2 linked regions of the Styela clava genome follow. The protein of the gene in region 1 binds, or shares a complex with, the protein of each later gene. Links are inferred from orthologs where the notes say so. Each region holds a gene or a part of one and is shown on either strand. Other genes may lie near its edges. The genes, in order: UDP-N-acetylglucosamine--peptide N-acetylglucosaminyltransferase 110 kDa subunit-like and TGF-beta-activated kinase 1 and MAP3K7-binding protein 1-like.

The links.
Region 2: the proteins of UDP-N-acetylglucosamine--peptide N-acetylglucosaminyltransferase 110 kDa subunit-like (region 1) and TGF-beta-activated kinase 1 and MAP3K7-binding protein 1-like are in contact, whole or in part, in a crystal structure (PDB 4AY6), measured with the Homo sapiens proteins. The link is inferred for Styela clava from reciprocal best matches to the Homo sapiens genes OGT and TAB1. Residues at the interface, in NP_858058.1 of Homo sapiens: Asp441, His506, His508, His509, Asn567, His568, Pro569, Gly641, Tyr642, Thr643, Lys644, Ala646, Gln849, Phe878, Pro904, Val905, Ala906, Pro907; in NP_006107.1 of Homo sapiens: Pro389, Val390, Val392, Pro393, Tyr394, Ser396, Ala397, Gln398, Ser399.

What each region holds. Positions count from the first base shown.
Region 1 is NC_135258.1:11,142,446-11,154,513, reverse strand, and holds the start of UDP-N-acetylglucosamine--peptide N-acetylglucosaminyltransferase 110 kDa subunit-like, read right to left. Parts: upstream 5,149-12,068; 5' UTR 4,973-5,148; coding exon 4,891-4,972; intron 4,312-4,890; coding exon 4,161-4,311; intron 4,069-4,160; coding exon 3,949-4,068; intron 3,829-3,948; coding exon 3,705-3,828; intron 3,631-3,704; coding exon 3,562-3,630; intron 3,476-3,561; exon of another isoform or gene 1,673-3,475; coding exon of another isoform or gene 1,571-1,672; intron 1,172-1,570; coding exon 1,055-1,171; intron 967-1,054; coding exon 887-966; intron 806-886; coding exon 615-805; intron 443-614; coding exon 297-442; intron 1-296. Other genes in the region: A disintegrin and metalloproteinase with thrombospondin motifs 3-like, read left to right, coding at 9,529-9,579, 9,960-9,990, 10,653-11,035, 11,518-11,653, 11,885-11,965. UniProt on the Homo sapiens protein: Catalyzes the transfer of a single N-acetylglucosamine from UDP-GlcNAc to a serine or threonine residue in cytoplasmic and nuclear proteins resulting in their modification with a beta-linked N-acetylglucosamine (O-GlcNAc).
Region 2 is NC_135253.1:22,517,764-22,529,949, forward strand, and holds the start of TGF-beta-activated kinase 1 and MAP3K7-binding protein 1-like, read right to left. Parts: upstream 4,651-12,186; 5' UTR 4,632-4,650; intron 2,972-4,631; 5' UTR 2,958-2,971; coding exon 2,728-2,957; intron 1-2,727. Other genes in the region: uncharacterized protein LOC144421899, read left to right, coding at 9,125-9,341, 10,225-10,248, 10,548-10,580, 11,291-11,332, 11,756-11,832. UniProt on the Homo sapiens protein: Key adapter protein that plays an essential role in JNK and NF-kappa-B activation and proinflammatory cytokines production in response to stimulation with TLRs and cytokines.

The sequences.
Region 1 (12,068 bases):
GAGATCAAGACAAGTTATCATCAACTTATGTTATAATAGCATGAGAGAGCAATTCCGACAAGATACGCGTGTGTAGGTGAGTTCTTTCACCTACGACTGAAGTGTCGGAATGAACGATAACTGATGACACCGCTGGGTTCGCCCCTTTCCCGATGAATCAAAAACTAAATACGAGAGAGAATGAATAGGAGAGAACTCTCTCGTTTTCACCTTGGCACGGAACGGTAAAATTGAAAAAACTGATCTTGGCATCGAAAGTGTTAAGAGATTGATCAAAAAAAAAATTCAGTAATCACCTCCAATGCTTTACAATACAGTGCAATGGCCTCCTCTATCAGTCCTTGTTCTCGTTTTATATTTGCCAAGTTGTTAAGTGAATCTGCATGTGTTGGACACAGTCTCAGTGCTTTATTATAACATTCTTCAGCATCTTCAACTTTACCTGAAAGTGCATTTTGTAACAGATATCAGGGTAAAAAAAATTCAGAGTTGAGAGACAGATGATCAGAATCGAAAAGAGTGGACAAAAAGCTAGTCTGAACATTTTCTACATACTCTCGTGCCTTCAAAAGTCTGATATAACACAATACATTTAACCGGAATAGCAATTTTACCTTTTTCTTTGAGGGCGTTGGCCAAATTGCAGTATGCATCAGGAAAGTGCGGTTGAAGTTCAATCGCTCTTCTGTATGTGTCAATCGCTAGATCGATCAGCCCTTGTTCATAATACACACACGCAAGATTTCCATGAACAACTGCATGGTTTGGTGATAGATTCAATGCACGCAGATAAGCAGCAACAGCTCTACAATGAAAATTGTACATGAAAAAATTTAAGGAATATAGATTTTAATTTAAGTAATAAATAGAATGTTACAATGATTACCTATCAAAGATTCTTGCCTCTTTCAGTACATTTCCTAAGTTGATATATGCATCAAGAAAGTTTGGATCCAACGTCACAGCCTGAAATCCATGATAAAAAACTGAATCAATACCCCATTGTACAATAAAATAATGTTTATACATAAATATACAAAAACAAGAAAAATACCTTTTCAAAATGATGAATTGCAAGCCATATTTCTCCTTGACTGTTGAAGACGCAGCCAAGGTTGCTCCAAGCAACTGCGAAATTTGGTTGTGTTTCTATAGCTTTCAGATAGCATGTCTAAACGCGAGAATAAAAGACAAATTAGGATAAGAAAAAAAGGAGTTTTGATATCGCACAGAGCAGCAGCAGCAGAATCCGGAAATGAAGCCAAAGATGCCGAATTTTCTCTGATGAAATAAATGGTTACATTAGCTTCTACTTCGCTTCATCCGCATAGAGTCTCACATTTGCAAGAATACTTTTTGCAAGTTGTGTCAAATAGATCTACCAAAAATTTTGGCAGAAATTTAAAGTCAAGCAATTGTGAGTGGAAAATGATGCAGCAAGATTTGAACATAGAATTCGCAAAGCGCGGCGCACATAGCAAAAAATACAAGACAATGCACAGTAATACAATACATATAAAAATAAAAGATCCATATTTATATACTTGGACCAACTTGGTATATACCATACCGTTGCCGCATTTTGTCGGCGCTTACATAACAATAAGTAGCCTTGGGTGCCTGAGATATTTATTAGAGATACGAAGAAGTCATCTGGCATGGTGATATTCATGTCCTGCTCTGTTGAATGCTGACGAGCTCTGTGCAATCTTTCTTAAATTGACTTGATAAATATGACAGAGAGATAAAGAATAAAATAACAAGATTAAAATATTGTAAGATGTCTTAAATAAATACTGGTACTTGGAAGTTACATTTGATCAGTAATTGTAATTATGTCATTGACAAAAAACATTTTTTTATTTATTCTTGTTTTTAGATATGTCTAAGAATTTGAACTAGAATCCTTTGGTAACAATAATGTCAAATTTGAAGAAAAACAACATTAACGTCAGATTAGAGAGAAACAATTACTTTTGAAACTAAAGCCAAACAAAGTTTGAGGTTTTAATTAAAATATGCAATACTTGGCATATGCCTTACCATTGCTAACTTTAATTCATACCACAGATGTAAATATATGCTGAGTAACCATCCTGTATCAGGTAGATTTTGTCCTTCTAGAGAAGCTTTTTAATTAAAAAATGAGCACATACAATATCTTACCATGGCACATCATGTTAATAATACCAAATTGCACATAGAATTTAGTTTCGAGCCAATTGATAAAATAATTTGAGATACAATTCCGCTACTGATCCAAGAATTTTGTTTCAAACACCAAATTCTAAGATCAGAATATATTTATAAAGACGCAATTTAGCAAATGAACGTGACAGCTGAGAGTTGCATTTACTGGAAAAAAAACTATCTGGGGTTTTCAAGTTTTCAAGATACAGACATGTCCAAATGCACAAGTTAATCCCAGGAAGATGTCTTTCCAATAACAACTGCTGCGTCAGCTTACAACCCACGAGCGCTTGACTGTCAGTGTAAGATATCGGGATGGATTGGATATTGAGTAGTTGAAATACATTTCAAATGGGTAGCAAAATATGTCCACTGACAGCCATGTGGGTCAATGTACCTTCATTTCAATGCCGAATTCGCCGACTAAGTGCAAAAGCCATGCCCAAATAATATTTCGCTCCGGTTTATAGGAATACAAAAATTACCTCATCCTCAACAGAGCTGAGTAATCCAATTTTAAACAAAAAATAAATAATACAGTGTCACTTTTTGAAAAGTCGTTAAAAATAGATTTGAAAATTGCACATTTCAGTACACTGCTATGTTCACAATCTTCAGTGTTGTTTTATGAGATGAAGAGAAATGAATCTGCTGCTGCTATACCTGTCTATAACATGTAGCACGGATGGAAAACAACACTGACCATTGTGAACATCAGAGGGAGCAAAATATTTCGAAGCAAGGCTAAACATACTATGAAATAACAAGAGCACAAACATGACTTTCTTGTTGAATTACTTGGTTTCAGAATTGAATGGCAGAGGGCTATGACTTATTTGAAAATAATGGCTTGATTGATTACAAAAATTATTATATTTTTCCTGTCTAGTTCAACTTCTATTAAAATATAGAGCTGAATTACAGCAGAAATATTTTCAAGAAAACAGGTGGCGCAGAGCCAGGTCGAACCCAATAATGGGGTGCACAGTCGATTATTCTAGAACTCTTACACATAGACTTAATAAAAAAGCAAGCATGTGCAAAAAAATCATATTTGTGCTAATGTAAAATAATTCTATTTGATGTCTGAAACAGTATTTGGATTTCGGAAATGTGTCGATGTGCCATGGAAGTGATTCAACTTTTCATGTGCTCGAGCGTTTCTCGGTTGCTATCGACACAAACTGAATCCTGAAGCATGCATAGCGAAATAACTAGTTAAGACCAAATCATCATCGAAACGATAAATTGCAAAAGTATTCGAGTCCAGCATGTATGATTCAGGATTCAGGTGTAGATAGCAATATGCCAAGAACCGCAAATGCGCATTTGCTGAATGTAAAAAGCATGCCAATTTAATGCTGCAAATACCTTTGCCTCTTCTAAACGTCCAAGAGCTTTCAACAAATTACCAAGATCACTCCTCACACAATAGAGATCCTGAAATGAGTTGAAGTTGATTATTATTATTGAAGGGGAAAGTATGAAAATATGATCTGCGGAATGCAATTTACCGGATTTATTTGTAGAGCTGAAAAATAAGCCTGAACTGCGCCTTCCAAGTCTCCAGCAGTAACCAAAGCAGCTGCTAAGTTGATATAACCATCAATGAAATCTGGTTTCAAGCGTACAGCATGCCTAAATTCAAATAGAAAACAAATATTACATGTCCAATTCCATATATTAAACAAACACCGTTCAATTCCATATATTAAACAAACACCGTTTGATAAATTGTTATTTTCTCAAATATCATACCTATAATGTTCTAAGGCCTCTTGCAATTGGCCTCTTTCCTTGAAAACATTCCCAAGATTAGAATAAGCTTCAGCAAGCATCGGGTTTGTTTTAATTGCATGTTTTGAAAAATATGCAGACCTGAAAAAAATTGGTTTGTTATGTCACCATTCTTACTTGAAGGAGTACATTTAAAACAATAACAGAATAAAATTGTAAGAACTGGATTATACTTGTCAAGTCTCCGACACTGAAAATGAATAGAACTGAGAAGTAACAGAACGCCAGTATTATCTGGATCTTGCTGCCAAAGATGCATACAATGCCTTTCTGCATTGTCATAATCGCCTGCTTGATATTCACGATGTGCAAGTTCAGCAAGACCTTAAAATAGGGAAACCATGTTAAGGAAACCCAGATGAGTATTAATAAAAAAAATGAATGAACAAAGAATCTTATTTCTGGTCCCACATTTTACAGTATTCAGGTATTGGCTTACATTGAGCTGCCGAGTAAAAGCATCACTCCATGCACTCTTTAACTTTGAAAAATTATGACCGAATGACTTAAAACTCCGTCTCGTGCAGCAATTTTATTTGGAGACTACATTCTCCAAAAAAATTCCAATACGTAATCGACAAATTACAGAATTACTAAATCAAGAAATCAGTATACAGGAATAGACAAAACTTTTGCAAAAACATATTTTTCTAAAAAGTTATCTGTAACGTTATATCACACGCGGTTACATTATAATGGAAATACTGGAATGACTAATCGTACAACAGTACAAGGTACAACAGTATAAAGTTTAGACAATTATTTGAAGTTTATGACAACAAAATTCTGAAATTGTTCAAGTGTACCAAAACTCCTGAAACTTGGTAGTTGGAAAGCAAAATACAGAAAAACAAACCCATGAAACTGTTCAATTAATAAAAAATAACTTATAAGTTTACCAACCCGTGGCATCAAGAACAGCTGCTTGATGATTATTATTTAACATAATTTTCTTAGTGTCGTCCTTCGTCATTGGTGAATACATTGGATCACGAATTATAGTAGTAAAGAGAAATTCAAGTCGACAGCAATGTCTGAATGTGCCAATTTATGACAGGCTGGCAGGGTTAAGCAATGTCAGAATGTGAACTCTTCAAACAATCTTGTGTTGCAGACTATGCAAGACAAAAATCACTCATAGTTTGATTTAATTAGAAAATCTATATAAATGAACAGAATATAAATATCAGTTTTTGCACCAATAACACTTGAAAATAATTCCCAACGCCAAATCGCAAATTTTTTGAATTTATTCATACTCGCAAAAACCTTATAACCAACGATACAACATACAGACATGAAGGAGAACCATATGGACAAATAATCTAACGCTAAACTTTGTCTATATACATCATAATCTAATCACAATAGTAAAAGTTACGATAAGTCGAGGAAAATATCAAAATTAAACATTGTTGTTATTGAGCCCACACGCGTGAATCGTCCTTTCTGATAAAAACAAAGGGCAGTACTATTTACAGTCACGTCGAAGTGTTTCCAGTTTCCACCCAGCTCTGTCGCGTGATGTTATATTCATGCGCGCGAGGCGCCAAATATTCATGCGCACGAGACGCCAATGGTTAACTTGCAATGATACGTGGGTGACGTCATTTGTCGTGACACGCTGACTTTGTCTGGTTTCGGGAGCTTTGAAACAACGAGATGCCTTATCGGCATTATTTTTCAACTTCCGCTTCGGTCCAGTCTCTTATCAGGGAAATAGACGAACGAGAGTATTCCTATGCCTTGTTCATAAGAAGGTGGTTCATTATGATTACTCAGAATTGCCGACTTGGAATCAGAATGAATGTCCAATAATTTAAATTAATTGTTGTGACATTTTTATCTTCATGGATGGGTCGTAAAAACCAACGACTAACATACCGTAAAAACATATTCTTCAAACTATATGAGAGAATGGGTAACACCAAATTGGAAGTATGGCACAAATAATGATATGATTTTGTGCTACTGATACGGTATGTTAGTCGTTGTACTGATATAATTTATCAAACTCGCTATCTACGTTATCATTTTCTATTACGCACATATGTGTAAGCCAGTACGAGCGACAATATCACATAGGTGATCCGGTACATTCTATCCGTCCTAACACAAATCTAAGGTCACTAGGGAAGAGTTTGTGGGATAATGGACCTTTCCCCGACCTTTGACCCCCGAATAAATTCTTCTTATACTTTGCCATTGCAAAATTTTCGGGGCTATTTTAAGAGTGCTTTTGCGAGTTGGCGCCTGTAAAATGGGGTATGTGTTTCAAACCATCATTATGATTCATCGCATACAACTTTCTGTTTTTTAAAAGTACCGGTAAAGAATTTTAGCCTAGTCTATCACAGCTATTTCGACACTAATTTTTTATTACTGCAATTTAATTAGAACTCATGGGAAAACAGGGTGATCATTGAATTATCTTATTTATATTTAAGTTTCCGAAACACAACTGAAAACTAACGAATAGAGTTCAAAAACGCGATAATGAGGTAATGTTTACGACCGCGCTTGAAAATCTGTCTGAGTGAGAAAAGTGTCTGAGCGGATGCAAAAAGGGAGCATTGTTACGTCACTTTTTGCATCTTGTTGATTGGCCAATGTCACGAAGTAAACAGGAAGTCGATGCTCGGGGAAAGGTCCATTGTGTGTAAGAGATTGTTGAACAATGTCGTGGGGTTGTTCATGTAACCCAAGATCGGTTTCGATTTTCTCTACCATCAAGTCAATGCATCTAGTTCCATTTTGCTTATCGTATGGGCTGTCGTTCCGTATTTAAGCCAGTGGTTTTCAGCCTTTTTTAGTGTCGGGCCAGATTTCAAACCTTAAAGTTGTAAGGACGCGAATTAAAATAGCAACAAAACAAAACTGAGTATGTATTTCAAAATAACATCCCCAAAACTCATCTATAAACACCAATTTAACGCTAAACTTGTGGCATTGGCCTTGACTTTTAATTCTGAAACAGCGAGATGCAATCGTGCTTCATATTTCATAGTGTACTGAAAGGTAGGCTACTGCACTTCAGTCTTTCAATTTCAAGTCTTTGATTGATTTTCAGTGAAAATGATACAACGCTAGCAATGCACTTTTCATTTTGACTTTTCATAGCAATTACTCTGAAATGGCCATGTTGATACTGTAGTAAATGTTGCTAGAATACAATTGGAAATAGCTAGGGCTTGATACTTCGTTTGGTGATATGTTGTTGGTATTTTCCCTCTCTCATCGTTATAAAAAAGCGGTACTCCTGAAGTATGCGCATCAAGATGTCGCACAACCTGAACCCTAACCCTGTACAGTGTACACCACCGGGTTCAGGTTGTGCGCCATCTTGGTGCGCATACTTCAGGAAGAAGAAAAACTTTACTCATTAACTACTAATTGCTCTGAAATTTTCAGTGGTTAAGGATTGTCTTATTCGCTAGAAAGGCATTACTTTTATTATTTCCGAAAATTTCTGTGGGCTCTATGGGATTCGTTTTTTGTGTGCGATGACATCATCGATATTAAATATTGCCCACCGTGCCGTGGTTCTCTAAGCGCATTTCAGCGATTTCGTAGTCAGACTACCGGTACTGTAAAATAGTTGATGTTACTTCGTTTTCGCCCTCGTATCTATATAATTGAGCATTGATATCTTGTTTATTTAAATATATATTCCAGTTTTGAATGGATCGATGATCCATCTTTTTCAATCGCGACTACACGTTTATGAATTTGTACATTGGTTAGAAATTATTAGACATTTGTGATAGGTCATGAACTGAGGATAAACTAAGAGAAATATTGATTAAATCCATGTATTTACTAGACTAGAAGTAAACTTGAGATTTTCCAACCCAGGTTGCACGCTCAAAAGGGTTCATTTTAGGCGCACTTCCATGCATGATATATTCACCTGCTCATATATATATTATCACGAGTAGAGTACTCTCATAAGTCCAATCCTACAGGCGTGACACATTCTGATTATCATTTTTTACTGATTGCACTCACTTTACCATACTTTTTAGTATTATTTTTGCAAGGGATACTTACGACTTACTTGTCCACAATTTTTTGTTACCGATCGAAAAAGAATAAAAGAATAGGCCAAACCTTCATTCTATCATTACATGATTCATTTTACAGAGATAATGGATACTAGAGGTTCAGATCCCAGATTACAAGCGAAACAATTAAAACAACAGAATATCAAATGGCCGATTTGATTTATACCAACTATACAGTCTTTCTTTATACAGACCTGGAGATACTGAGATGCCATCGATGCGAAGAATGCATCATTGTTACAAAAAATCCTACGAAAATTGGTTTATTACGGAAACACACAAGATTGCAGCGTATAGTCAAATTGATTTTAAATCGGTTTAAAAATAAAAATTCAATACTTTGTTCAATCTGGGAAGTTTTTGAGTTCATTTCAAACTACTGCAACAATTTCAAATAATGATTTTTTGCGTCAAACATGTATCAATGGCCCTATTACACCGTAAACCCTCAATAGCGTATTAAATCGGACAATTTTCGATATCCTAATTTTCAAACAAACAAACATTCAAACATTTTATTTGTTTTATATCACACTTCTTGGATTGAATCATTAATGTTTTAAATATGATAATCTCATAATATAAATGTTGATAAACTGATGTTTTGTCAAAACATCCAACTTTTCGTGATACCCGAGGCAATATTTGCAGCGATTTTAGTATTTGTGGCACAACAGTCGTCAACAGAACAACGATACTTTTGTGATGAGATTTAAAAGATGATTAATATTTGAGAAACAAGGTTAATGCTATGTAAAACGCTCAAAAAGTACTATTCAACGAATAATATTGCTGACATCTGGATGAGGAAATATTTTGACAAGAAGATAAATTTGACACGATAATAATATTTTACAGAGGGATTAATTGTTTTAAAAGGTTAATAAGAATTTACGCCAAAGCAACAGTTAGAAATGTGTGACATCATAATTGTTTGAATTAAATTATTCTATTAATTTTCTTTCAATTTTACTGAGTGCATCACATTGAATTGAGGAATATTGCCGGCTTATTCTTAGAGCGGATAGTGGGATATTTAATTTTTGTTTCCCAAGAGGTAGAGTTACGAGTGTCTAATTGCATATATTATAGTGAAACGATCAATTGTTATAAGGGGAGTTTAGCCTTTGGGATATCATATACGGATCCTCTTTTCATATTCAGCCTAACCTTAATTAAAGAGAGACGATTTGACCGTGTTTCGTCCTTTGTGCTTCTTTATCCGAGTTACTTTCGAGGTTATAGAAATTGGCTAAATCAGAAAATAACGTTTGCTCAGAGCAAAAAAAAATCGATTTCCCTTACTCCCTTCGGAATATGTCCATTATTTCCTATTTCATCATTTTTTCCACTTTTGGTAATTACTGAGACATTTTTCAGTCGATAATTAAATAAGAATGTAAGTTCGAGAATAATGGCATTTCGTGCCAAATAATAATATTTCTAGTTTTATTTATTACATATTTTCTTTGGCAAGATGAAGTTTGGATTTGCTCTGATGTTGTTGGCCTCCTTTGCCTTTTCAAGGGTGAGTAAATTTTTTTATTGTCGACGTTTTGACAAATAAGATCACACGCATTGAGATATGGGCTAATATTGCACTAAAAGAAAATCGAAGAAATAGTATGTTGACTTGCAACCATAATTTCAATATTCTGAAGCGAGTTTGAGTTTTTATAAATTTTTCTTAAAGCATTTAGTTTGGAAAAATCTAGCGCATGGGAATGAGAGAAATGTAAATTTGCATATAGAATATCTTACAACATTTTTTGATTATTCATTGATCTCTGAAATCAATGTCTAACTTTCGTAAAAAGGATATGCCTTGGATTTCATAAGAAAAAAGTGCCGAAACTCTTTGCATTGGACATTATATGCTCTTGTATTTACCATAATATGCACTTTCAGATTTATTGTTCTCTTCATCATAAGACAGAAGGTGAGATTTGAGTTATTTCCACATAGATTTAGGAATTTTGTGTGTATTGTATACACGCCGATCTTAAAATTGTCTTTATTATATCACATGTCACTAGTAAGTTTCAAATAATTATTTTCAAATACACTTTACTCAATGTACACATTCTTATTAAATTCTAATATTTGTTGAATTCAGCGTTTTTGTAAGATATAATCTGACCATAATTCTCAATGTTGGTCCATTGGACGCTGTCGTCATTGCCAAGTTGCCGCTTGTGAGCGCCACGAAATTCGAAATATTCAAATGTATTACATTTGAGTAAAATTAGTCCGTCTTGCTGTACATTTATGAAAAGTAAACTTGTGCTATCGATTGGGTTTCTACTAGACTAACTACTTATCCTTCTTCTAGGATTTTGTGCCGGTAGATCCGTATGCACATATTGCAAGGATGTTGTAGCAAGAGTAAAGATAACTATCCTAAGTCTTGCTGCTTACTATACAAATATATTTCTGTAACGTTGTGTCTGACCAAAGTCAGTCTTCCCCAGACAAACATTTATCAAACTGGGAGGTTGGAGAAACGTTACAGAAATTTATTTTGTTTATAGTGTGCAGCAAGACTCTTAAATCGCGTATAGGTCTTAGGATTTTAAAAGTAATATCAACTTATATTGGCAGAGGAACTATCTGAATTGTTTTCAACATATGTCATTACAAGTCCGGTTCAAGTTGACTCAGATGGGAAATTTTTATCTTACGATTTGAAAACTTCAAGTATTCGTAAGAGACGATCCGCAGCACACGAGCCCTGCAACACAACATCTTATGGACCATGTTCCGGTAATAAAGACAATGATATATATTATAATATCACGGCTTTCGGAGAGTCGTACCATATTGTTCTGAAGCAGAAAGATCAACTTATTGGCCCAAATGCCAAAATTGTCAGACATTTAACGAATACAAGCATTGAGGAAGACTTGATAAGACATGGAATATATGCTGGCTATGTTAAATATTTTGACAAAAGCAAAGTAGCAATGACGAGTTTTGATGGATTGGTGAGAACTTACTTATTAATATAATCTTTTATTTGTGTGTGTTTCCAAGTTTTTTCTGTCCCTGGTTCGAAACGGAAATCGAAGTTTTACCTGTGGTGTAGTGCTTCTATATGATAATGCGCTATGAACTTCTGGTTACTGTTTTTCATGGGTGTTTCATTGGTTTATTTATCAGGTGGACAGAAAAAATGTATGAAATTCAGAAAGATTTGTTATTCATTACGTTACTATTACGTTTTAACAAATAGCTTTTGAAAAAGCCTATTTGTTTGTTTATATTTTGTACAATAAATATCTCGATACTCATCGCGGGTCTGGTGGAGATGTATGATAACATAGAAATCTCGAATTTGACGCTGGACACATGGGTTTCACAGTCCTAGGCTATTAACATATACTACTTCAATGATCAAAATTACATGAATATGCTTGTGTCAATATATAGATTTTGACTATATTTATATTTATTGAAATATTCATAGGCTGGATATATCAAAACTGACAAAGGTGAATATTTTATCGAACCAATAGAACAAAGTCAGGACGAGAATGAAATTGATATCAAACCTCAAAGACATATTGTTTATGAGAAACGTGATCTTCTTTATAAACCGGAAGGTTGGTGGATTTTCCATGTATTATCTGCATGTGGTGGCACACTCGATGTCTCGGTTTAAGACTGGTGTTATAGAATATATTACAAAAAATTTATGAACTTTGCGATTTTAATTTGAAAGCAGTCTAATTGTGATTATTTGCGTATACTTCCCGTTTTGATCTGAATATAATATATGTATTGACGAACGAATACGAATTTAAAAAATATAAATTTATTATGTGTTTCACCAGGTAAAAATGGAAACAGACAACAAACGTTGTGGCCAGCTGTGGAGAATATGAAATTTCCATCATATGAAATGCTCGATGACGGTGAGGAAATAAATTTCATTAAATGTGATAGGACAATGGCGCAATTGTAAGGTTTCGGGATTGCATGCCAGTCTAGTCACCATCCAGTGCCCATCGCCCTGAG
Region 2 (12,186 bases), on another chromosome or scaffold:
ACACTACTCTCTAGTTATTGAAATACAACTTGATCTAATATGAGACAGGACTAAATTATGAGTGATTGCAACTAGAAATGTTTGCAATGTAGACAAATAAACTGTAACATATTTCATTACTAAGCGAGATGGCTAAAGCGTCCGGATTAACTATAATGACATATCAGGTTAAATGGTGTGGCGCAACATGCTAAGAGCTAGAAATATGCTCGCCACAGCCCTGCGTGTTCGCAGGTTCAAATCCCATGGATTTCTACACTCCTCGCCACCGTAGGTTGGTTCACGTAACTGCTGATCGGTTACACCTTCCTCCCCTATCAGGTCCATGCTTCCGGAAACAAACACCTGGCTAACTAATCCCATACCCGACATGGAACGGTAACCGGATAAGAGGCCGTGGTTCGCCATATGATTAAGCTGTCCTATCGGCTTTCTTCTTGTTTTTTTTTTATTCACCATAGGTCGAATCGAAGGTCAATCATATGATTGAGCCGTCTTATCAACTTTCCTTTCTCACAGGTGAAATATGTAAATCCTGTCCTAAGTTTATCAATCATTCTTATCCCCTCACTGAGAGTCTAATACAGGGGTTCCCAAACCAGGGGTCGCGACCCCAAATTGGGTCGGAGTGATAATTAGGTAGGGTTGCAAACAGGTCATGGAGTCGGTGGGGTCGCTGAGGTATGGTAGAGGATGGATGTACAAATCATCTAAGATTAGACAAACCATGTTAAATTTAGCAGTTTGTAGTTTGTACCATGGCTTACTGTAAAACAGGCCCATAAGCATCGCTCTATGCTTATGCTATAGAAAATGTACAAGCTTATTGATACCACCACATGACCAAACTCAAAAGTCCAGTGAAAGAAGCTCAAATTTTCATTAAAATCTAGGCTTCTGGTCCGAGATATGATGAATGCAAATGCAAAATCTGGAGCAGATTCAATCTCGCTTTATCGCGTGCATCTAACAGACATACATACAGACAAATACCAATCATCATACTTAGCGATTAAAATCGATAAGTAATAACATCAGACAATCCCATGCAGCTACGGCCACCCAAGGTGTAATAAATTAGATAAGAAATGCCAAACCAAATAAAATTATTTTCTTCCCAAAATCTAGTAACTCCTTATACAGAGTGAAATGCGCAAAAACTATGAATAGAAAAAGTAAGGGAACCCGCTGGAGGCCCCAATTAAATGTCTTTCTGTGTCAAAATCAAAGAGAATCTGGAATAAATTTCAAAAGTTACTAAGTGACTTTTACCATGAATAATGTACAACAAAATGTAAACCTATTGAAATATTAATTTGAATGTACAGCATGGCAGAATTACTTCAGACTATAGAACCATGATGAGAATATTCAGATATTTAGAATGATGAACACGGCCAGTTGAAAAATCTGGAAAAGAACCCATGTCCAGTATGTCGAAAAAGTCGCTAATTGGCAATAAAATAGATCTGACATATAGGCAAACTTTGGCCCATGGGCTAAATCCGGCCGACTGGGTAATTCGATTTGGCCCGCCTGACGCTGCCAAAACCAAATTTTGATGTTTTAGCTCAAGGAATTTGTTGAGATAGCGATAAAATTAAGTTTTCCACTTTCAGTTTTGAAACACTGTAAATATTGTTCATGAAATGTAACTTCCATGTCACTCTCATTATGATGCCCTGGTCCGAAAACCTTGCCCACTACTAAATTACCGTAGTAGATTATAGGTTTTGAAAAATTTTGTGACAAATATTTAAATGAGAATATCGGTCGGAGACCGAAGACTTATCGATCGAAACTGCGGATTCGATTCATGACTCTATAGTGATACTGCGTGTCCCATCACTAATTAATTGATAACTCGCTAATTATACGACAGAATTCATTCATAATCAATAGGCTTCTGGTCCGAGATATGATGAATGCACATGCAAAATTTGGAGCAGATTCAACCACACCTTCTTGAGATATTGCATGCATGTAACAGACAGACAGACAGACAGACAAATACCTATCAACATACTTACCGATCTAAAGATCAATAAGTAATGATTATAACTGCCTGTATTACTAAAGAACCCATATAGAACTATCTATATTCATAATCATGATACATCTCGGCCATTGGTCACACATAACTGGTTCAACATAAAAATGCTGAAATATGCGTCATCCAATAAACAATAAATTCATTGAATCTGCTAAATATAACAATGACAAGGACTTCAATAAACATGAGTCATCACTACATGGTCAACTAGCAAACAAAGCTATTGAAGAACCAACCAATGCAAAGATAGTTGGATTTGGCATTTCAAAATTATTTCGATTTTAATAAAACATTCAACTTCACTCCTGAAATCTTGCACCAGACAGACAGAGTACAAAATATCTCAAATGATTTACATATTTGAATATAGAATGACTGCATTTTTTTGACTGTCATATAACCACTGATTGAAATAATAATTTTTGAATAAAATCAATTTGAATTATAAAAATTTGATATTTCTATTCAAAAAAGCTTTACAGAACAAAACAACAACGTACAAATTTTACTAACAGTTGAGGTTGCGTGAAACTAACTACCTTTCCTTGCTCTCTATGCCTTTGCGCAGGTGGATCCGTATGTGTATTACGTTAGGATGCTGTAGCAAGAGTGTAAATGGCTATTCTATTCAATTCATGAGACTTGCTGCACTCATTTTAAACATCTTTACCAACCTGAAATTGAAAGAAAAGTCGGCATACTGATGAGCTTCCATTGTTTTACCATCCTGAAGATAGACAACGTTCGGAGCTATTCCAATATCCGACAAATTACAGACTGGTAAATCATCCGTCCAACTAACACCAGATCGATTAAGCATTCTACGATGAACGCTGGGCGATGACGAACTCGTGGACGAATGTGTACTTCCCTGTGGAGGCCGTAAAGGCGCAGCAGTCGCCATCTTTTAGATTTTAACTGTAATCGCAAAATAAAGAGTGTTCCTATTTTAAAAATTTATTCCAACTTCGGAAGTTGATTTATTTACTGGTCTAGTAGTCTATAATATGGGTAGGATTTACATATTTATCATAGGGACGAGCACACCCTATAAAAAGTTTAATAATATGGCAACCCACAGTCTCTCGTCGGGCTACCTGTCCATGTCAGGTATGGGATTGGTTAGCCAGTTATTTTATTTCGGAAGCATGTAATTGATCGTGGAGAGGGGTTATGGAACCACCCTCCGGCAATGTCAGTACGGCACACTATACAAATCGGGTGACATTGTCCCGTTTCAGAAAAACCCTACTTTTAGATGATCAGACCCCTCCTTCGGGAGACATCTGGACATTGTTGTCCCTCAATATTAGTAATAATACAGTATGATGAAGTTGCGCAAAATACTACAAAAAAGCGCAATCTAGTATCGTCATCATTGAATTCCTTGAGAAAAAATAATCTGATTTACCAAAGAAAAATTTTTTTTCGTAGCATTCGAGAGTTTTTAGCAAAAAACAACAATTTTGGTCATGTGACGGCCGCGATTAATTTAGATTATTATTGAGACAAGCATGGCGCAATATGAAGCATCTGTCGTGGTCCCAGACGCCCCTCGTTTATGAGACACATGGAGTGTTTGTTTTATTGAGGCAAATTCTTGGAATTTGGATAGTGTGCTGTACTGGATGTGGAGTCCAGCAATCCTCTCGCACATAATTAACCCTGCATGAGATTTGAACCTGCAAACCCAATCAGGATAACCAGAGATGCGGTGGTCAGCATATTCCTGAAGATTAGCACGATGCGTCAATATGTAGTGCCCCTTCAAATTGAGATGATAAAGAGATATTTACCCAGAGCTGGAGCCGCAGGGTCACTGTGTTTAATGCAGCTCCTCCTAATAGTTGGATCTGGCGCTGCCAAAAATGGTGGCTTATGAATGTTTTTAATATTTACTTTTCAACATTAATTTGAAAAGTTCAAATTAAATTTGTATAATTCATAGTTCACAGTTTTATAATAAGTTTGAAAACTTTACGTCTCACTGCTGTATTTTGGCTAATGTCTGAATGTTTCATAGCAATGGTTATAACGAAAACATCATTGGCAATCAGAAGGACACAGTTCTTCGATTCCAAGATTGCCAGACTATTTGTTCAATTAAACAAATACTCTATTTGATCCTGAAACGAGTGAGTCTGGCATGATGGCGGATGCGTCAGATTGCACCATGCTCGTCTCGATAATGATCTAAATTGAACGTGGCCGTCACAAGACCAAAATTGTGTTCATTTTGCTGAAAACGCTCGTGTGCATATTTATGCAGCATGTTTGCATGTATATTTACTTGCATTAAACCTTTATAGAGGTTTTGCCAGTTCCCCCAATTTTCCTAATCTTCTGTGCATTCATTGTTTGGTTTTTGTGTATGATATTTTTTACGAGAAAACCAAAATATATTTATATGCTACTGTAAAAAATTTTTCATCAATACATTTTTTTATGAGGAATCCTATGGTGAGGTTTTAGATTGTGCTTTCTTTTAGTTTATTGCGCAGAACTGGTTTGCCAAATTACTGAAATATGCCTATTTATGGGGCCCAAACTGTCTCGTAAACCAGAGGTTTGCACTCACCGTTTTATCCTAATTTATGTATTTCAATGTGGGGACCATTCTTGAAATTGGAGAACCGTACAGCTGTACAGGCTATAGACAGATAGAGGCCTAATTTTATAAATACAGAAATAGAAGCCATAGTGGATCAAAAAACGTCGCAGTTCAGTAGCTCGTAGTCTAGTCTAGTACCGGTAGCAGTCTATACTGAATAACTTTTTATTGTTTGCTATTTCCGTATTTTTTTTCTGGTTTACGAAAAATAAATTTCTCTCTCTCTCGTATCCTTATCTAGGACTATCGGTACTGCACTAGTGCACTATATATTTTATGTTAATTCACAATAAATTTTTTTTCAAATACAGACATAAGTAAACGTTAGCACCTAATCTGGGAATCAGCTGAGCATTAAAGGGCGGCCCGTTCGACGGCAAAACAAGTGCAAAAACAATGTTCTCGATGACCGGAGTCTATAGCCGTATTTACATAACACAAATGGGACAGACATAAAATATACTTGAGACTTGAAATGAAAAATTAATTGCATAACATAAATAACAGTTTACCAATAATATGAATAATAACAACCAAGAATCTAATAATTATTTTTTATTTAATATTTCTAAATTTTATACTCAGTCAAAACCGGATTTAAAATAACGACTTGCGTAATCTACATAAAAAAAAAACATTTGTAAATTTTTGTACCTAAAAATTTTATTTTTGATAATTCCAAATGAGAGTTAAGAAACGATTAGGCTTATTCGACCAAGAAAATCCCAAACAAGCCCATGCAACTGGAACAAATATCTGGCTAACTGATCTCCTACCCTGCATAAACTGGTCGTAATCTGACGGGGGGCCGTGGTACACCAGATAAGGAATTAGGCTCCCCCCCCCCCCCTGCAAAAAATATCAAACTAATCAATCATGCTAATGCTCAAAACAGATAGGTGTTGTGGCATTTCGAAGTTTAATTTGAATTTTTGTTGTTCTTTTTGTATGATTGTGTCTAATTACTAAGTAAGCATTTAGGTAATATTCCATAGTCATTGTGGCATCTGTAGTTTATTTCTTATTCTTTTTATTGTTATTAATCATATTATTGTGTCTAATTAGGTAAATGTTTAATATTGGGTTCTTCCGTTGCTATATTTGCTGCTTCAAAGTGTCGTTGACTGGTTGACTTGTGGACTGATGAGTTTTTCGCGACACCTCGTCCACTGCAACAAGCCGATATCTGTTTCTGTAATTTGTTTCATGCATTTTATTTATTTCATATTGTTTATTAGTTTTCCACGACGTAAATGAATATGAAGGTAGATATTCGGATATGAACCTTCACAGGGAAATATAGAAATGAAGAAGATCTGCTATAAAATCCTACGGTTATGCATTTATTTTAGTATATTAGAAACTGATCGACCATAGGCTACTTTACATTGATTAGATTATATTTCATCATAATCCGGAAAAATATGGCGTGTGGCTTTGACGCAGATACTGAGCGAATAGAAAGGTACATCGCACGCGCAATTTACTGCGTTTCATTTTTAGTGCATTAGGCGGGATGGCATGTTTTACCTGTCACTGGGCAAAACTTGTCGGGTTTTTCGTTTTATTACCAGTTTGTATAATATCGTTTTATTCTGTAAAAGAACATAACGCCGCGCCAATTTCAAGATTTTTCGTGAGATGTTTATTAAATTTAGAAACAGTAAACCAGATATAGGGCGGTCAGTTAGCACAAGAGGTAAAAAATGATCAAATCGATGAATCGTCTTCCAGTCTTTGTATTCCTTTACTGACAGTCAGAATTGGGGTTTACGGATTCGCTCTTTTAATTATCTAACGCACATTATCGACAATGATTGCAGAATTACTGTTCCTTTTTTTTATAAAAAGAACTAAACTGAACCACGATTAGAAACAGGATATCATATTATTTTCCAAATCCGCACATTTAAGAGTTACAGGAGCGCACACTATAGTCCCAGTTGAACGACTTAGCATACATTAAAACGTGAATACACCTGCTTCGAATCAACGCAGTATGTTTAAAGTAATAATTATTTCGGGGTAATTAGTTTTGTCGTGGGCTGCTAAGCGTGACGTTGTTAAATAACCAAGTTTCTGGCCAGCTCGGTCCTTGTAAGTGACGGTGGCGCAGGAGAAACGCAGAGACGTTGTCAAACATCAGGTCAGGCACGAGCGCAGGTTCGAAACTCACGGGGTGGATCGAGTTGTAGCAGAGGGCCAGCAGACAGGTTAGCCAGGTGGTCGAGAAAAGAAAGGACAGACGGGCTGTGAGCCGTAGAAGAGGAGACCAGCAGATGCGCAGAGCAAAGAGATAGCATACCCAGCCGCAGGATAGGGAGGAAGAACCAGCGGGCCCGTCGATGAAGGAGATAGCAGACAAAGCCGCAGGATAGCACCGCCAGACAAGACAGGCAGGTCGTCAAGAAAAGAAAAGGCAGACCGAGCTGCAGTAGAGGACCAGCACGTGCACCGAGGAAAGAAAGGGCAGCAGACCCAGCCACCAGGATATGCTCAGCAGACAAGACGAGAGGAAAGGCGGCCGAGAAAAGAAATGGCAGGCAGGCTGATCCGCACAAGAGAGGAGCGCCGAGCAAGGGACGCTACCAGCAGACTGGTCGAGGAGAGAGGAAATAGGCCCGACCAGCAGGCAAAGGACCAGAAGGAAAGTTGGTCACGAAATGGTACAATCGTGCTGCCGGAGTGCAAGCAAGAAAATATTATGCAAAAAATATAATACAATTCAGGTGTCGCTGCCTGAAGACATTATGAGAACACCTGAAATGTGTTTTTAGAATGTGACGATGAAAAGAAGAAACGACGTGCGTAGCAAGCAAGCGTGGGGTGAATAAAAAATATAAATTATATATATATAAGGTGAGAAAAACAACGAAGCCCCAGAGCAGTCGAAGAAAAATTGAAACTTCAAATTTCCGTCCAATCTCATCGCTTCTTTTAAGCAAGAAGTTTCGAATAACGAACGCCAGCCGAGAACAACCGTTTGAAGTGTTTCTCACAACAATACCGAAACTTACTTACTTATTTAATTCCAGACGGAAAACTAATTCTAGTTATCGAGCAGCGACACGTAAGCTTCTAATATCTAGTTAAAAAGATCGGGTAATTTAATTATAGAAATAGTATTACTGAACACCAATGTTTTTTCATACTCCATAACTCAGCAATTTTAAAAGCATTCGCACCTTGAATATCGCTGCTTAGTCAACATGTTTTGGGTTTCCTGCGGCTTTTCTTCCCCACTAAAACTGTAAGTGCTATTTTCTGGTTATTTGTACACAATTTGTTTTGTACTGGTTGAAACTTACTTGATTCGGGGAGAGATGCGAGGAGGAAAGGGTGCCTGCCATGTGTGTCAGCCTCACACAAACCAACAAATAAAATATTGGAAAATAATTTTTTACTTGAATTACCAGTGGTAATAGTACATCTCCATACAATAGGCTCCATACAGCTATTCTTTGGATGTATGTTTGCCCATATGCTAAAACAATTTTATTGAATAACGTAGTAATCTTACGTGTGTTGAACATATTGTTGTTTGTATTGTTGTTGCGACTGGCTGTAGGCCCTACTTTGTTTCAGTGCTATCTCACCGCACATTGTGCGGTGGTGGTTATGATATATTATAATACCGAACAGCGTAGTAACATTGCGTATACTTCAATATGGTTAATACTTTTGCGAAATAACTACGAAGATATCCAAGAATTTTCAGTTTAGCGAGGACTTATTCGCCAAGTGGTAAAAGATAAATGATTTGTTGTAAAATTTTAAAATTTTAATACTATTTGGGACTACTGCTATTCATACTCATGATATTTGACAGAGTGCTAGTCCGTGAAGTTATTAATTGAAAGAAGGCGTATAGACAACTAGTTCTCAAACGGGGCGCGCCCGCAAGTAAGACGTAGACAATTTTTTGGTGGGCGGGAAGCTAACTAAAAAATATTTGTTTGATATTCACATTTTATTATTATGGATATTAACGTTCCATTCACGTATGTTCAACCTGTTTTTCGAATAAAACATTCGCCTTGCTATCTGTTATTTGTAGCTTATTGTTAGCTAGTCACTTTGGGGGCACGCGCGAGACTTGACAAATTCTAAAAAGGGAAGCGCGGCCTAAAACTTTTTAGAACCACTGGTATTGATATTTATAGATCAAATTTTTACAATACGATTTTTGTTAAGTGATTCAAGAGTCTTGCTGCACACTAACACAAATATATTTCTGTAACGTTTCGCCCGAAACGGCGGGTCGTAATTGGCCCGCGAGCCGCGTTTTGGGAACCGCTGCAAAAGATAATTGAATGAAATTTATTAAAAGATAGCAAAGAAGAGTTGCAGAAGCTCAGAAAAAAATATTATTCATGTTCTTGAGTGCCTCAACTGAATTTTTTTTTTCGATTAAATATTTAGATTAAGTAAAGATTAGTCAACGTGCGACAACTGAAGCAATGTATTGTTTCAAAATAGCATTCTTATGGGTCGTTTTCACACTTGCCAGATGCGAAGACAGTTTGGACATTTTCGATGGTAATTACCTGTCTCCAACAGTACCTGACTCGCCCGAAGCCAGATACAACTATCTAGACGCAAATTATAAGTCTATGAAAGACTTCTTCAGCGAAATGACAAGATTAGTTGAAGCCATGCAAAGCGAAGGATCGGGAGGTTTGACTTTAATTCAATACAATGATCAGGTATTTTACGGGATATCCCCATTGGCTATGTCCCCCCGCTTAAAAAAAAATTCACATTTTACTTGAACTGCATTTCTGCAGCGTTTGCAGTAAGACACCATTTTTTAACACCATTTTGCTCTATTCCCTAACAATTTGCTGAAAACCGGATGTTTCCAGGATAACTGTACATTAATCCTTCCCCCTAATGAACGAAACGAAATATTAGTGGATTGGTACGCTGTTCTAAGTTTGCTTGCTAAGCGGTGTTATTGTTTGTTTTCATTAAACTGATGTTTCATTAAACTTGATGTTTCTATCAAGCTGGATGCTTGTATAGTTCATTAGTCAGTGTCAGGGACACAACATTCCAAGCAAAAGACACGAGTAAGCGTCTAATAACGTCGTTATACAAAACAAAATTGCCCCCAAAATTCAAATTGTGGGCTGGCTACGCTCTTGGATGTTCCATACCTTCCTTCTTAATGAATCTCTGGACAAATGGTAAAAAAACAGGATCGATAGAAAAAACATGAAATTGTTAAAACAACAGCTTTCCCCAATAAGTTATCTATTCAGCACGTCACTGTATTTGCAGAATCTTGCTGAACGTTGCGAAGTTCAAGGCCAATTCTGGATACTATATTTGCAGAGAAAAAGTAGTTCAATCTGAATAACATCGATTAAAAAACGACTTCGACATCCTGTTACCCATTTGACTGGATTTTTAGCGCAAAAAAACAGACATTTAGGCACGGAGAAAGCACAATTTTAGCTTATGATCATGTATGCGCCTCGAGTGCGAAATTTCCTATTAGTGGTATTACACTTTTGGTTTTATTTTGCCGTTTTTCAATTTATCAAATATATTTCAGGGGGTTCATCAACATTTGTCACGAGTGAGTATTTTATAGTTTCATTGCATTGTTCAATAATCAGTTGAAATATTTAACGACTATGGAATTTTTGATCAAGACCACCGTCTGCACATAAACTTACTTTGCAACAGAGATGCTAATGCAATCTTCTTTATACAATGCAAGGTTCAAGCCAACGAGTTATTCTCCGGCATAAATCTTTAAATCCAATCTTAAAGAGCTTCACATCAGACTTCTAAAGAGCTACTCCGTGCATCTCTAGGCCTGTTTTTCTGACCAGGTCACGTCAAACGTTACTTATCGGTAACTTTTAATTTTAGGTTCCGGAGTTGAGCTTGATCCATCAACGCCAGGTAATAATGTTATAAATTTGTTTGTAAATAATTTAGGGATATTTTACTTTCCTGGCATCATATAAAGATGACCGTAGCCTAGCGGCTAGAGTAGTGGTTCCACAACGTGGCAGCGCATTTATCACCAATAAAAGTTTTAAATATTATTACATTTGACAAAATTAATGTTACATGTTTCAACGACGGTACGTCAATTCTAAGAAGTTGTCCTCGGTTTTGTTTTCAATTTCCATCACAGCAAAAAATGCAATTTTGCAGCCGCAAAGGTACAAACGAGAATATCGGTCAGAGACCGAAGACTTCTCGATCGAAAGTTAGGGGATCCCCCAAAACAGCGCTCTTACTCCATAGTGACACCTTGTTTCCCATCACTAAATAATTAATAACTCTCTAATTATACGACATAATTCGCCCAAAATCAATAGGCTTCTGGTCCGCTTTCGTGAGATATCGCGTGCATCTAACAGACAAACAAACAGACATACAGACAGACAAATACCTATCAACGTACTTACCGATTGAAATCGATAAGTAAAAACCTGTACAGAATGTAATTCTCTTCATATCAACATTCAGCTAGAGCGTTAGACTTGACTTTTCAGCATTGCAGCCGAACCGGAAAGGTTTCGTCCTTCCAGACAACATATTTTGACTTCTGTCTAGCGTATGGTCTTGCGTATGGAATCAAAATTCAGTTTTATTAATTTCAGGGGGATTGTTGGGAATCTCACAAGAAATACAAAATATTGATGGTAAGTATATATTTACTTTTAAGACACCCTGTATTGTTGCCAAAAAGATGTAAGTGAATAACAGGTAAACAAAACCTGATATAATTCAAGTTAACTCTGTTAGGAAAAATACGGATGGGAGGGAATAACCTAAAGCCGTCCCATAGGAGAAAAGTTCTGTTTGAATAGTCTTTCTGCTAGTTTCAAAATCTGTCCTTAAAGTTGAAGTTATCGTAACAGAACGAAATATATTCCAGGTTAGAACAGGATTGAAACTTTAAGTAAAAAGTTGAAGAGAATTCTGAAATGGCCTATTTTCATTGAATTCAACATGCTATTCACACCCAGAAATGAAATACTTTTGAATTTATAGGTATATTCCACATTCGCTACACCATAAACATACATATAAAATATATATACTGTATTTTTTAATTTGAACAGCACGACGCACTCTAACGGACAACTCGATTAGGAACATACTGAATGTTGAGAAGAAACTGTTTGGAATTACAAAATAACTTTTCTTGTTTAAAAAAAATACTGAAATAAAATCGAGTTGGAAAAAGAAGTATTATTTTTGTGTCAGTGTTCCATCTTGACAAGGCATTTGGGATCTTTTGTACAATATCTCGTCAAAAAACACCCCCGCTCAAAAAAAACAAGAAAAAAAAAACAGTAGTTATCTAGATAGGGTTAGAAATGTAGATTGCGATGGAAACTGAAATCTTTCCTCACCCTTAACTCTAACTTGATAATTACTAATTTGTTATTTTACAACGTGCTGCCCGGGGCGGCTGCCTTTCGCCACCCTCTAGGCACGCCACTGACTGGCCCGTGGCGTCCTTTCATCTGGCCCGCAATAACACTAAGAA